Linked DNA regions of Drosophila melanogaster. The protein of the gene in region 2 interacts with the protein of the main gene of each other region in a pairwise test. Each region holds a gene or a part of one and is shown on either strand. Other genes may lie near its edges. The genes, in order: CG7191 and CG15878.

The links.
Region 1: the proteins of CG15878 (region 2) and CG7191 interact in a two-hybrid assay, tested with the Drosophila melanogaster proteins (one large-scale study listed by BioGRID).

What each region holds. Positions count from the first base shown.
Region 1 is NT_033779.5:7,765,581-7,773,644, reverse strand, and holds the start of CG7191 (uncharacterized protein), read right to left. Parts: upstream 6,018-8,064; 5' UTR 5,928-6,017; intron 2,384-5,927; 5' UTR 2,326-2,383; coding exon 2,040-2,325; intron 577-2,039; coding exon 395-576; intron 181-394; coding exon 1-180.
Region 2 is NT_037436.4:2,210,234-2,214,191, forward strand, and holds CG15878 (uncharacterized protein), read right to left. Parts: upstream 2,271-3,958; 5' UTR 2,156-2,270; coding exon 815-2,155; 3' UTR 640-814; downstream 1-639.

The DNA.
Region 1 (8,064 bases), on a different chromosome or scaffold from region 2:
GTGACGCTTCCATGGATACCTTCGATAGTAGCGCGAACGCTTGGATTTGCTCTGGCCCAAAACCAAATCCTGAACGGCGTTCTCCAAGTCGGCGTAGTCCTCGGCTCCGCCGGAAGGAATCACAGCCTCCGGCTCCTCCTCCTCCACGTAGACCAAGGGCAAGGTTTCCAATGAGGGATCCTGAGCGAAAAAATGCACATAGATCAAAAAATTGTGTTAAAATTTTAATAAAAATTAAAAATATTATCACTTAAGTATGCATTACTCAAAAAGTTATTTATAAGCAAAAGCTAATATGTTTTGATGTTTATGTTTAATATTTTAAAAAAATTTAATTTACCGTGTATTTTTCAACATTTTCATCGAAATTTCGACAGCCTGTCTTCGCACTCACCTCCAGCATTTTCATGAGCAAAGCGGATTTGTCCACCAGCTCCTGCTCGGCACGCAAATCCTCCTCCATCTTCTTGAGCACCTCGAACTTGCTGGCCAGCTCGAGTTCGTTGTACACCGCATCCGCGTAGTCGGGACCTTGAGGAACCACTGCCAATCCGAGCTCCTGGGCGCGGAGTAATTCTGCCGTGAAATGAGCAAGCCAAAGACCTTATTTGCGATTTGAATGTTTATTCAAGCTGTCGCTAATCCGACCACAACCACGCCATTGCCATTCCCATTCCCACTTCCACTCCCACTCCCACTTAATTCCCCGACTCCTGCTCCTTGCCATCGGAAACTTCCGCCGTTTGATATTTGAAAGTTTGAATAGTTTGTTTGTCTGTCTGTCCTGGTTGGCTGGAATATGTTTTCCCCCGGCTCTTCGGTCGTTTCAATGGACTGGCGGAAATTGACTGGCGGCAATGAGTTTATGGCCACAGCATTCCTTTTCCCCTCCGCGGCAGGGGAAGCCTTCTCGGCTTTTCGACCACGTCCGTCAGTCAAGTCAACAGGCACTGCAACTCCTTGACTGCCTTTTGTCGCATTTGGCATCCAGTCTGCCCATCACTGTCCACTCGATGTCTCTTCAAAGAGCCGCAGACAGCGGACGCTCATGAACCCAAAGCATTTACAGTTTTAAATTTAAGGACTCCTCAATTGAAATAAATAGTTTCGAGATCAGAAACAGAAATAAATTTAAATTTTTGTTTCATATATGTATGTTTATAAGATCATGTCCAAAAATTCAAATGTTACCAACTCAAACCAAATCGATATTCGTTAAATTTCCAATCCATTTACCCATCTATCAAATCGCTTGGAAAACAAGTTCGCTTATTGAAAATCGGATATGACATTTTATTGCCGGTTGGTAGAAGGTAGGTGGTAGCAACGTAAAACGCAAACGTCGAATCAAATTCGTCAACAAATTTGAAAATCTATCCCGGGCAGTTTGGTGGGCGTTTTAAGTGCTCAGCACAAACAAACACATGCTCCACATATTGTGCGATGGTCAACAATGTGAGGCACTTGAAAAATTGTGCACTGACCGAAAATGTTCAGCGAGCGGTGGTCACCATGGCCATTAGGGATAGAGATGGTGGGCGACGGTTACGGCTAAGTGCACGCCATGGGTCACCCTAACTCTTGGTCCACCCCTTTCGAATGGGTCGCCTAAAAGTCGGCAAGCAAAAATTTTGAACGTAATCATGTACTCAGGTGAGGAGTAAATAGGAGGCCATAACTGCCATTAAATATTGAAAATATTTTAGAAAAATAGCTAAATGACAACAAAATAACTAGTTCATTTATTAAAGTTCCTGAACAGATTCAGTTCCAGTTCCTCAGCTTTATGGATCAGAATGCCTATTAATTTGGCTAATATAAATAAGGTCTATATATTTTTATAGGGCGATGGAATAGCTTGGTTATAGGATTCACCTTGACCACGATTACGTCTTCGCATTCAAAAAGAACCCGATAACAATTTAATTGAAATGGTCTTTGGATGCAGTTGCTATCCTTTTAATTCGACTGGGGATTAGCTGATGCCCGGGAAGTTTACCATGGCAAGGAAAGCGGTAATAGGGATGTTTATGACTCACCATCGCCGGGATCGTAAACAGCTCGTTCCTGGGCATCCAGGACATCGCCGGGCAGAGCGGGTCCTTGGCGAACGGGTCCGCCCCCGACCGCTAGAACGGGCAAATGAAGACGTTGTGGTACGGACGCCACGCCCTGATGGTCACCCACTTTGGCACCGTTTGCTCCGCCTGCTCCTCCGCTGGCGGTGGACTGTGCAGTCAGGAAGCCGGCGACGTGACGCGTCCTGCTGCACAGGATCGTGGTAGCCAGGATGCAGAGCGCTAGGATGTCGGGCTTCATGTTCATACAGCCTCTGCGGATGAGCTCGGGATTAGTGCGCGGGTCGTTGGCGATGTGGATGTCTCTGGAAGGCAAAAAAAAAAAAAGCGTAGATGTTTGTACAAGAGGGTAATTACCGTCACTACCACGGCCATGGGATGGATACCTACCCCATCCGCCCCATTATGCCGTGCGTGTGGGCGTCTCTTTGTGCTCAAGCAAACAATACTCAGATAAACACGCAAGCAACCAAGAAACCCCCGCCAAAAGTAGGAGAATCGCGAGGGAAACTGGAGAAATGGGCGGTGGGTGCCAAACGTCAAAAGGGCGTCTCTTGGATAACTTGGCGGCTGATTCTGGGGCTTTTGTTTTGCGCTCCTGCTTAATCTTTCTTCGCGCGAAGAACCGTGGGCCATACGGGCAAACAAATTCTACTCCTTTTCCACTAACTAAGGCCGTTATTTAAAAATTGGGTAAAAATATAAAGGTTGTGTACTTTGCAGACAAATAGTTAATAACAAAGACGGATGCAGTATGTTGTTTATAAAGTAGAAATTACACAATTCAACTATCAGAAAAATAATATATTTATATTAATATTCGAATATTAAAAAGTACTGCCTAATTTTTAACATCCCATTTATTTATAGACAAATGAAAGCTACTCTATAATTCTTGTAGATTTTAACGAAAGATGTTTCTAATTAAAATTGATAAGAATGCTATTACTTTTCGCATAGATTTCCACCACTGTGCAGTAGGTGTTTGTGTGCTTTTATAAATATTTTTTATGTCAGGTACTGCATCGCGGTTCATACTGGGCCCACTCTGTGCGCTTTGTCGTTTCATTTAATTAAGGATGGGACGTCGCCGAAGTGAGCGAGTGGGCTTAACTCCTTCGCAGCGTATTTTTAGCCCATTTAGCTCAGGAGCCTGGTTGTTGGGGTTTTGGGGAAACCCGCCAACCTTATCGCATTTTTTTGCGTTTAAAAAACATTCGCTTGACGAGCAATATAAATGAGTTGCCTGAAACTTTTGGCACTTGCGGTCTCGCTGGTTGAGATGTCTAGGATCGGCTTAATTTGTCTGCCCAAGCAACTGAAAATAATGTATGCCTAAGACAAATTTCGACAAAAAAGTGTGAAAATTTTCACCAAGAAATCCAAAGTTCATTATTTAATTAAGGGCTTGGTAAATAATTAAAGCGCTGTTTGCTGCGAAAGTTTAAGCGTCTGTTTTTTTAAGGAATTATAATTTATTACATAATTCTATAATTTAATAATATTAATCTTTATTAAAATATTTTCCAGAAAATCTGTTCTACCTCACAGATAAATACATTGAAATTAGCTCAATTTATATGGTTAGTTAACCACATAAATCAATCAAGCAAATCAACTCTGTCACGCCCTCTCAAAAAAATAAAGACGGTTGCATTTGGTTCATTAAAATTGCTCGGAGAAAGAGAAATTCTCTGTGGATGATTTTCTTTTCACTTTTCGTCACGTTTTGATTAAATTCAATTGAAAATTTGCAACTTTGTCAAAATATTTGCGAACAATGTTCTCTCGTAGATTTAGGTCTTTAAGTGCATTGCGATTTTCCTGTTTTTTTTTGGTATTAATTTTGGAAATAAATTGCAATTTCTTCGGGCATTTCCTGCAAGAAAACTTTTTCAATTACTCCTCTTTTATTGGCACTCACTTAAGTGGGCGACACTTTGGCGTTATTTTTGGGAAAGCACAACTTATTCGAAATTGCTGCGGAGAGAACGAATTATAAGTAAACAAAGCAAACACGAATCGTTGTTAAAATGCCTTAATTAACTTGTTGACACAGTGTCAAAAAGTGGACAGAGCCCAAAAAACAAAAAATAGGAAAAAAAAAGCAAAAGAAGGGAATTCACCCTGGTTGGCGATGTCCCCAAGGTAAAATGAAATTAACTTGGAAGCGAGGGAAGTTTCAGGAACCCATATATAATTGTACGTTCATTTTTACCCGTCGCCTGTTTTCCTTTTCGCAATAACCGCACAGCTAATTGCTAAATTGAGTTGAAGTGTAACCGAAACGCACACGAACCCAAAGGAATTTTCATAGGCCTTATCTGCCACTATATTCGCCTACGTACCACCTGGACATGTGTGGCGGAAAAACTGCTTAATTAGGGCTAAGGATGTGGAGTTGGTCAAGTGCATCGGACATTTTGTCGCCGGAGTCCGGCCAATTAGACACGGTCTACGTGCGTAACAATCCTGGGTAGGATATTACATAACTTTTCTACTTATTGAATCCGACCATCTGGGATACTTGTCAAAATTTGCACACAAAAGGTTACACAAAGTGTTTGAGCCAAACCAAAGGACCAGACAGACGGCAATGATTGCTACGAAAAATCAAAAAAAGGGTGCTAGCCAAGAAAATTCCATGAAATTCATAAGTATTTTTTTTGCAGTTTTAAATCCTCGCCAACTACAAAATCGTGTACTAATCTTTAATGAAAAGTATAGCCTGCGGAATGTAAGTCAATACCTCTAGATATACTTTTCAGTTGCTATGTCTAAAGAAATAGCACAACCAATTTCAGTAAATACATTCTCCAGGAGAAAATCCTGTGGGATGCTGAATTTTTGTGACATGAAAACAGCTTTGGAATGCTTTCGATTGATTCAGTTTTTTTTTTTAAATTTCTATACGATTGTCAGGAATTTTTGCACGTGGAACTTAAGGGGTTTGAAACAGAGAACGAGGTCGGGGACAACAAATATTGATGCTTTTTTCTATTTGTTTCTCCTAGATTTTCATTGGTTTATTGACATTTGTGTTTGGCATTGGTGGGAATTCCTTGAGTTATTGACATTGATAAAGTATTTATGGATTGCTGTCCCGAGTAACCTTAAAACCAATTTTCCCAAAATTTGTAAGCTCACCAGTGCAATGAAATGAATTTTTAAATTTAACTAGTTCAGCTGTGATGCTCTGTGCTTAAAAAGCTTGAACTTTAATAAATTAATAAAAATAAATTATTGTAGTTAAACATTTACAAGATTAGTATAATATATAAAATTAATCATATAAATGGGGTTTTCTTGTAAAAAGCGTTGGTGAAATAAAATAAGAAAATTTTACTTTTATTTTTGAAGAGAACTTACAATGGCTAGGCTCTATCTTTATGGTAATTTTCAGTTTTAAGCCAAAGGTAGTTTTGTGTTAAATATCTTCTGATACAATTCAAAATATAAGAGCAGATTAAAATAATTTACCAAAGAAAAAGTACTGAATTAATGAATTAAGTTTTAGCTGGCTTTTCTTTGCCTTAAAAATATTTCTGTATTATTAAGAACGAATTCACTTAATAGTTTTAAATATAAGAGTTCTCCTGTTCTTATTTGGCATATTTAATATATGTCCACAAATTGTTATTTATTTTTTTAGGCGCGTATTTCGAGTTTCATTGACGACACTGTAATCGATGACGAAAGCGACGGCATTACTAAGATTTCACGTCACGTTTAGTTATCCTTTTTATGAAATCGACTGGCTTAAATTAAACACAGACCACAAGATATTTTTTGGAAACTTCTTAAAGAGTTTGGCGTGACTGATATTCGAAATACACCGTTAACACTCACTTTAAAATATATTCCTGGAAACCGTTTGAGTTACTGAATCGGAATCAGAATCGGAATACTGTCAACTGTTGCACCTACTACTTGTTGAACACTGCGTGGTTGACTCGCGGAGCCGCTTCCTTTTATAAGGCCGCATCCGAAGTTGAAACCGATTCGTTGCCATCGTCGGCCGATGACGAGTGCGTCGATTTCAACGAGCCGATGTAAAGGCGCCAAAAATTGCGTAAAAGCTTCAAACAAGCTTTTACTGGCCACTCCTCCTTGGAAAACGAAGCCACGGCCGTTTTTATCAATGAAATATTTTGGGGACATTTAAAAAGTTTAGCGCGATATTCGCGAATGAATAATGTCGGTGGCAATTATTCAGCAGGATCACGATATGCGCCGCAAAGTAGACAACAAGTCGCGAAAAGACGTCACGTGGCAAGGTGATAAATTATCTGCGGGTTGGGGTGGATAGAAGCCTTTGTTGACGGCCCTGTTTACGGAAACGTATTCTGAATAGTCCGGGTCACTCGTTTCTCGGAATCTCGCCTTTCTGTGGGAGGTCTCAAAGTTCCTCAAAGGACCTGCCAAGCATGACGCTGCGGAAATCCCTGCAGGCCGGTAGTTTGGAAATGTATTTGAAAATTTCCAGCGAATCGCCTAAATGTAATTGCATTGTCATATTCCAGTGCAAAATGGTATTGTCATATTGCTGCACTTATGAATTAGGCAACGATTATATTTATAGATCGATGATGATATAGCCTATCAGTCAGGCTGATAAATACTGGAAAAAGATAAAAAATCTATTTAAATGTGGTAAACTCATAAAATTTAATTCGAAAGGGTTTGATGTCTGTTTTTTTTTTACCTTCTATTGGCGTTTATTAAAAAATAATCAAATTTTATATTTATAGCTAATGTGTATATTTAAAACATTTGCTGCCTAAACTTAAACGGCAATGGCCTCGGCCAATAGTCCATCCTTTCCGTCCGACTCCCAGTTGAACTGCAAATCCAAAAGGAACACGGCAATCGCAGAGGAGGAATCGAAGGGTCTGGACATCCATCCAGTCGGATGTCAACAACCGTCGCAGCCCGCAGGCCTTGAAAATGATGACACTTTAATGTGAAATTGCCGTTAGTAATGGAGGGCAATCCAAACGATCCTTCGATGTTTTCGTTATTGTTTTGAGTGTGTGTATGTATGTGTGTGTGACTGTGTGTTGTTTTGGCCTAAAAGGCGGGCCGGGAAAATAAGCATATATAGGGTTTTCTTGAAAATCGCCTGGGGCAACAGAAGATGACACTTACGCAGAGAAAACCAATAATAGCCCGCTGAAAAGTTTAAGTGCTCGCGGGCAGGGGAAAGTGTCACTGGATGGAGGCTTCCTCATGTAGCGCGGCAAAAGTCATATTTTTGGCCAGAACCTGCTATTTATAGTCGTCTTTATTTATTTCGTTCGCTCTCCTCCACTTCTTCATACTTTACGCTCCTTATGGCAAGCGGATTGTGCGACTTAAGTTGCATCAGTCCGAAGTCCACCCACCCAAATGGCCACCGATTCATCCAAATGCGTCACGCCCTTCTGGTTTGGCACATGCAATCTCGCCATGTGCCGACGTGCCAAACAAAATGATAAACAAATTAGCGCAGCTAATTACTCTGAAATTTGTGGTTGGTGTTCCGGGAAACAGAGCCTGATATGTCATATATAAATATATTTCTTATGAAGTTATAATGAAATTAATATATATCATCATATACATTTATTTGTAAAAATAAATAAAATAAATCATTACCCAAAAATCATTATACACATGAAAACTCAGCGGACCTTATCATTTACTAAATTAGTTTTCCGTGTAATCTTCTTTCGAGGATTCGGTTTTCAGAACACTATTTGGCCCGCATATCTTTCCGTTACGCATATCCGTATCGCTGAGCAAATATTTGTAGCATACTTGTCGGGCGTTGGCGAGTGAAATGTGCAATTGACTCACGCGTTTGTTTTTGGATTTTTCGGCCGCTTTATTTTTGTTGTCATGCGGGTACAATCAAGTCGTTACAGCTTTAATTAAACCCCATTGACAGTTATCAAGTTATCAACCTAAACGCTGAGATTGAGTGACAGTTTAGCTAACGTTTTTC
Region 2 (3,958 bases):
GATTTGTTAAACAAACTAACGATTCAACGCCTTCGCGCATTCACCCCAGGGAATGATTAATCGTGAGTAAATATCCCACTTTATTAGGGAACTTTCTCGAGCCAAACTCTGCTTAACCCCATCGAAGTCGTCCCACCCTAAGCCCACGCAATCACCCATAAGCTGCCGTGTTCTTTTGGCCCACTGTCAAGTGACTCCAAATGGCAGCAGCGGCTTTTGACAGCTGCAAGCCCGGAGCTCCGACGGTATTACAACTGACAGCTGGCGTCTGATGCGGTTTATGTTAAAAGGCGCACCATTCAGCCATTCGCCAGCCAAGCCCACACATGTGCGCACTCACACCGCGAATTTATGTTTATGTTAACAAAGTCGAGCCATTCAAGTGGCAAGCCAAAACAAGACAGCCCCGAATGGGCTGAAACCACATAACAGCCGAAAACCCCACACCCATTCATGTACCCGACAGCCACCAGCTCCATCCAATCCACCTGCCCTCAGATGAGATGCAGTCATGTGCACAATGCCGAAAACATTGTAACCGAGCGCGAGGTTCAGAGATAACAGCGACAACTGCTGCTCCTTCTTGATGACGACACACTCAAAAAACAGGGCTTCTAAAGTATATTTACCAAAAATCTTGTTTTATAAATGGGATTTCTTTATTTGTACGCGAAATCTTTAGGTTTATGCTAAAACAAACATACTTGCTGAGGCGCGAATTCTTTAGAATTGACAGTTTGTTCGCTTGACGGTTTAGAAAATACAATGGACACAAAATCTAAGGTTAAAATACAACTACAAATTACCGAACCACTTATTCTGTCTTTGGCGGGGTCTCTTCATTTGGTGGAGCCTCCTCCTCGTCAGCTATACTTCCGACCAGGCTTCCTTGGGTTTTTCTCTTGCTAGCCTCCGCGGCATACTCACCAAATGTGAGATTTATGTCGTACGGAGTGCGCCGGAAGATGTTCGGAGGAGTGTAGTTGCTCTGTATGGGCCAGAAGAGACCGTCCTCGTCGGGGGAGAAGGGTACCCGGCCGTAGAGCCAGGCGAACTCTCCCAACTCGTAGTAGAATCGTGTGGATGCCAAAACCAGTTCGATGCGCTGGATCTCGGGCAGGTGCTTCCGGAACACCTCCACCGGCAAGTGTTCGCTTAGGATTGAGCTCTTGGACTTTGACTTTGGCATATCGTCCTCCATGTCGCTTTCTCGCGTGGAGATCCCGTCCGGATCCACTTGCTGACCCTCCGAGAGCAGCCGGCAGATGGTCAGCAGCTTATCCTTGATGATCAGATGCTGTTTTCCCATGAGATACTCATCGGTGGGCGTGGAGGTGGGGAACTTCTCGTTCAGAAAGACGGAAGGGATGCGGCGAAACATAAGTTCTTTTGTATAGAGCTCCTGCACGTGATCCTCGATCTGGAAGACGCGATTCATCAACCAGAAAGTCTCACAGCAATCGGCCAGGGCCCGTGTGAAGCATCCGATCATGTCCTCGGAGGACTCCAGCATCAGCATGCTGTATTCGCCCATGTGGAGAAACAATCCGCACATGGGATCCGGCGTGATGGCCAGCGCCTTGCACTGCTTATGCAGCTCCTGCAGGCGCTCGCTGAAGATGGCAAAGAAGTCCTTGGGCTGATCGGGTGCTTGGGTGTCCATTTCCAGTTCCTCCTCTTCGACAAAGTCTTCTTCTGGATCGTCTTCACTGAAACGGAACATGTGGGTAACTACTTCTGCAGTTTCCGTCGCACCTTCTTCCGGTGCAGGAATGGGCGCTGGATCCGCCGTCGTGTTCATGGGCGATTCCGTTTCAGTGTTGTCGAAGATCACATCCTCCATGAACTGTATGGGCGCCGCTTCATCTGGTTCAGGCTCAGCCTGTTCCACCACCGCGTCGGCGAGCAACTCCTCGTTGGACACAACTGGCGTCAAGTGGCAGTTCTTGGCCAGGATAAAGATGCGCTGATAGAACACGGAGGTGTCCATGTCCGCTAGCTCCATGTCCACGTACTCCACCAACGACTTGCGCACCTGGAAGGTAATGGGTCTCTTCAAATTGAAAATGGTGTGCCGGGTCATCCTGGTCGTCCGCGACTGCCGCTGGCGGGCGGCTATGGAAGCTTGTTTGACATTGATCCGGTGAAAGGACATCTTGGCGGGGTGTGACTGCTCCTGTCGGGGGTCGAGAACACACTCCCAGGGTCACCGGGGTCTACCAGGAATATCGATAAAGCTGTTGTTTCTGGAAATTTTGATGTTGTCTAGCAACTAAGCGGTTGCTTAGACTGTTATCGCTTACGTTGCTTTTTTGCTCTGGAATGAATAGAAGAAATCAATAAATAAATAAATAGAATCAAGGAACTGCCACCAATTTAAGTCCCACTAACTCCCTCTTGTATCTTTAAAATTTTAGGAAAATAACTCCTTTTGAAAAATGAATGATCGTAAATTACAATCTTATCACATTTTTCTCTCAGTGCCGACTCATACACAGCACACTCTTGCTTGTTTAATGTACATGTACAGCGTTATTACCTAACCATTGTGCAAGTACTTGGGTCGCTGCTTCAATTATTATTATCATTCGTTTGAAATCTAAGGCTCTGCTCAGCCACTCGCCTTTGTTTTGCTCGGCTTTTAGTTTAGCTTGGCTTTTGCTTTTCAGCGAGTTAATTTATTCATGGCGCATTTATGAGCATAGTGATTTCCGGCAGCACCTACACTTGCCACCCACCAACATCCCGCCCGCAACATCCGACATCCAGCAACAACCTTAGACGAGGACGAAAAGGGAAAACTTCTTCATCAGGAGCCCAACTCGTCCTTCGAGTTTTCCTGCTCTCTCTCTCTCTTTGAACAATTTGAAACACTTGGGCATACAATATGTTGAAATGATAATGAGGCGAAATTGTTTTTTGACTCGCTCCCAGGTGTTTCTGTTTCTCTTTCCGCCCCACCTGGCTTCAAAGGATGTCTGAGCTGTGCTGATTATCCTTACCCGCCAGGATTCGCCTGAGTGGCCTCGCCCGTTTTGGCCGTTTAGTTTATTGACTCCAAAAGTTGCGTAGCAATTTGCCGCAATGTTTTAATAACCAAGTGGTTTCGTTTTCCGGACTAATAAGATGGAGTTTTTAAGAGCTCATCAGATGTGCTTAAGAACTTTATTCTAGAATCAACGAATTTTATTATAAAATGCATATGCAAGTGAAGTTAGAAGTTCAAATAGTAACCTTAATTTAATTCGCTTGGCGGTGAGCTCTGTAGCCTAAAAACAATATTATCTTTCATACCTGACCCACAAAGTCAGTTTGAAAAATACGACTTTTGGGTCAAGTGGTTTTCACTCAACCGTTGATTCTTTGCTCGCTTTATTAGTTTAAGCTTTCCCTTGGGCTTTCACTTTTCACTTTTCCAGCTCGCCTAGTTTCACTTTCGTTGCCATGCAAATATGCCGGCAACATCGATTTGCCTCCGAGATGTCGACATGCCACGCCCATTTGTCACAGTCGCCGGCAGCGTTGATTGCATCGAAGTTCTTAGTCAATATTTGCCGATTTCAATGAAATGAGAATTTGACATGCAGGCAAACACGGCAGACGACGTCATGCCGATGTATCCAATGGATCCTATGGAAACGATGGCTCCGATGGAGCCGGCATTCCATGGGTGTCCTCTTCGAATGGCTGAAAGCGGAGAGTATCTGCTGCCAGGAGGAGACACTGTGCCGGCATAGACTCGGTTGCAGATGCAACTGGCAGCTGCAACAGGAGGAGGGCAAACACGGGCTGACTGACTCCATGCCAAATTGAGGCTGGGTGGCTGGCTGGTTGGCTTGGGTAAATTAATTGCGATCTATGTGCCTTGGCATTTTTGTGTGTGGCCAAGTGATTGATGTCGTGAGAGGAGTGTTTGCTGTCGTTACCTTTGTTTCTCCAGAAAAATGCAAATTGTTCA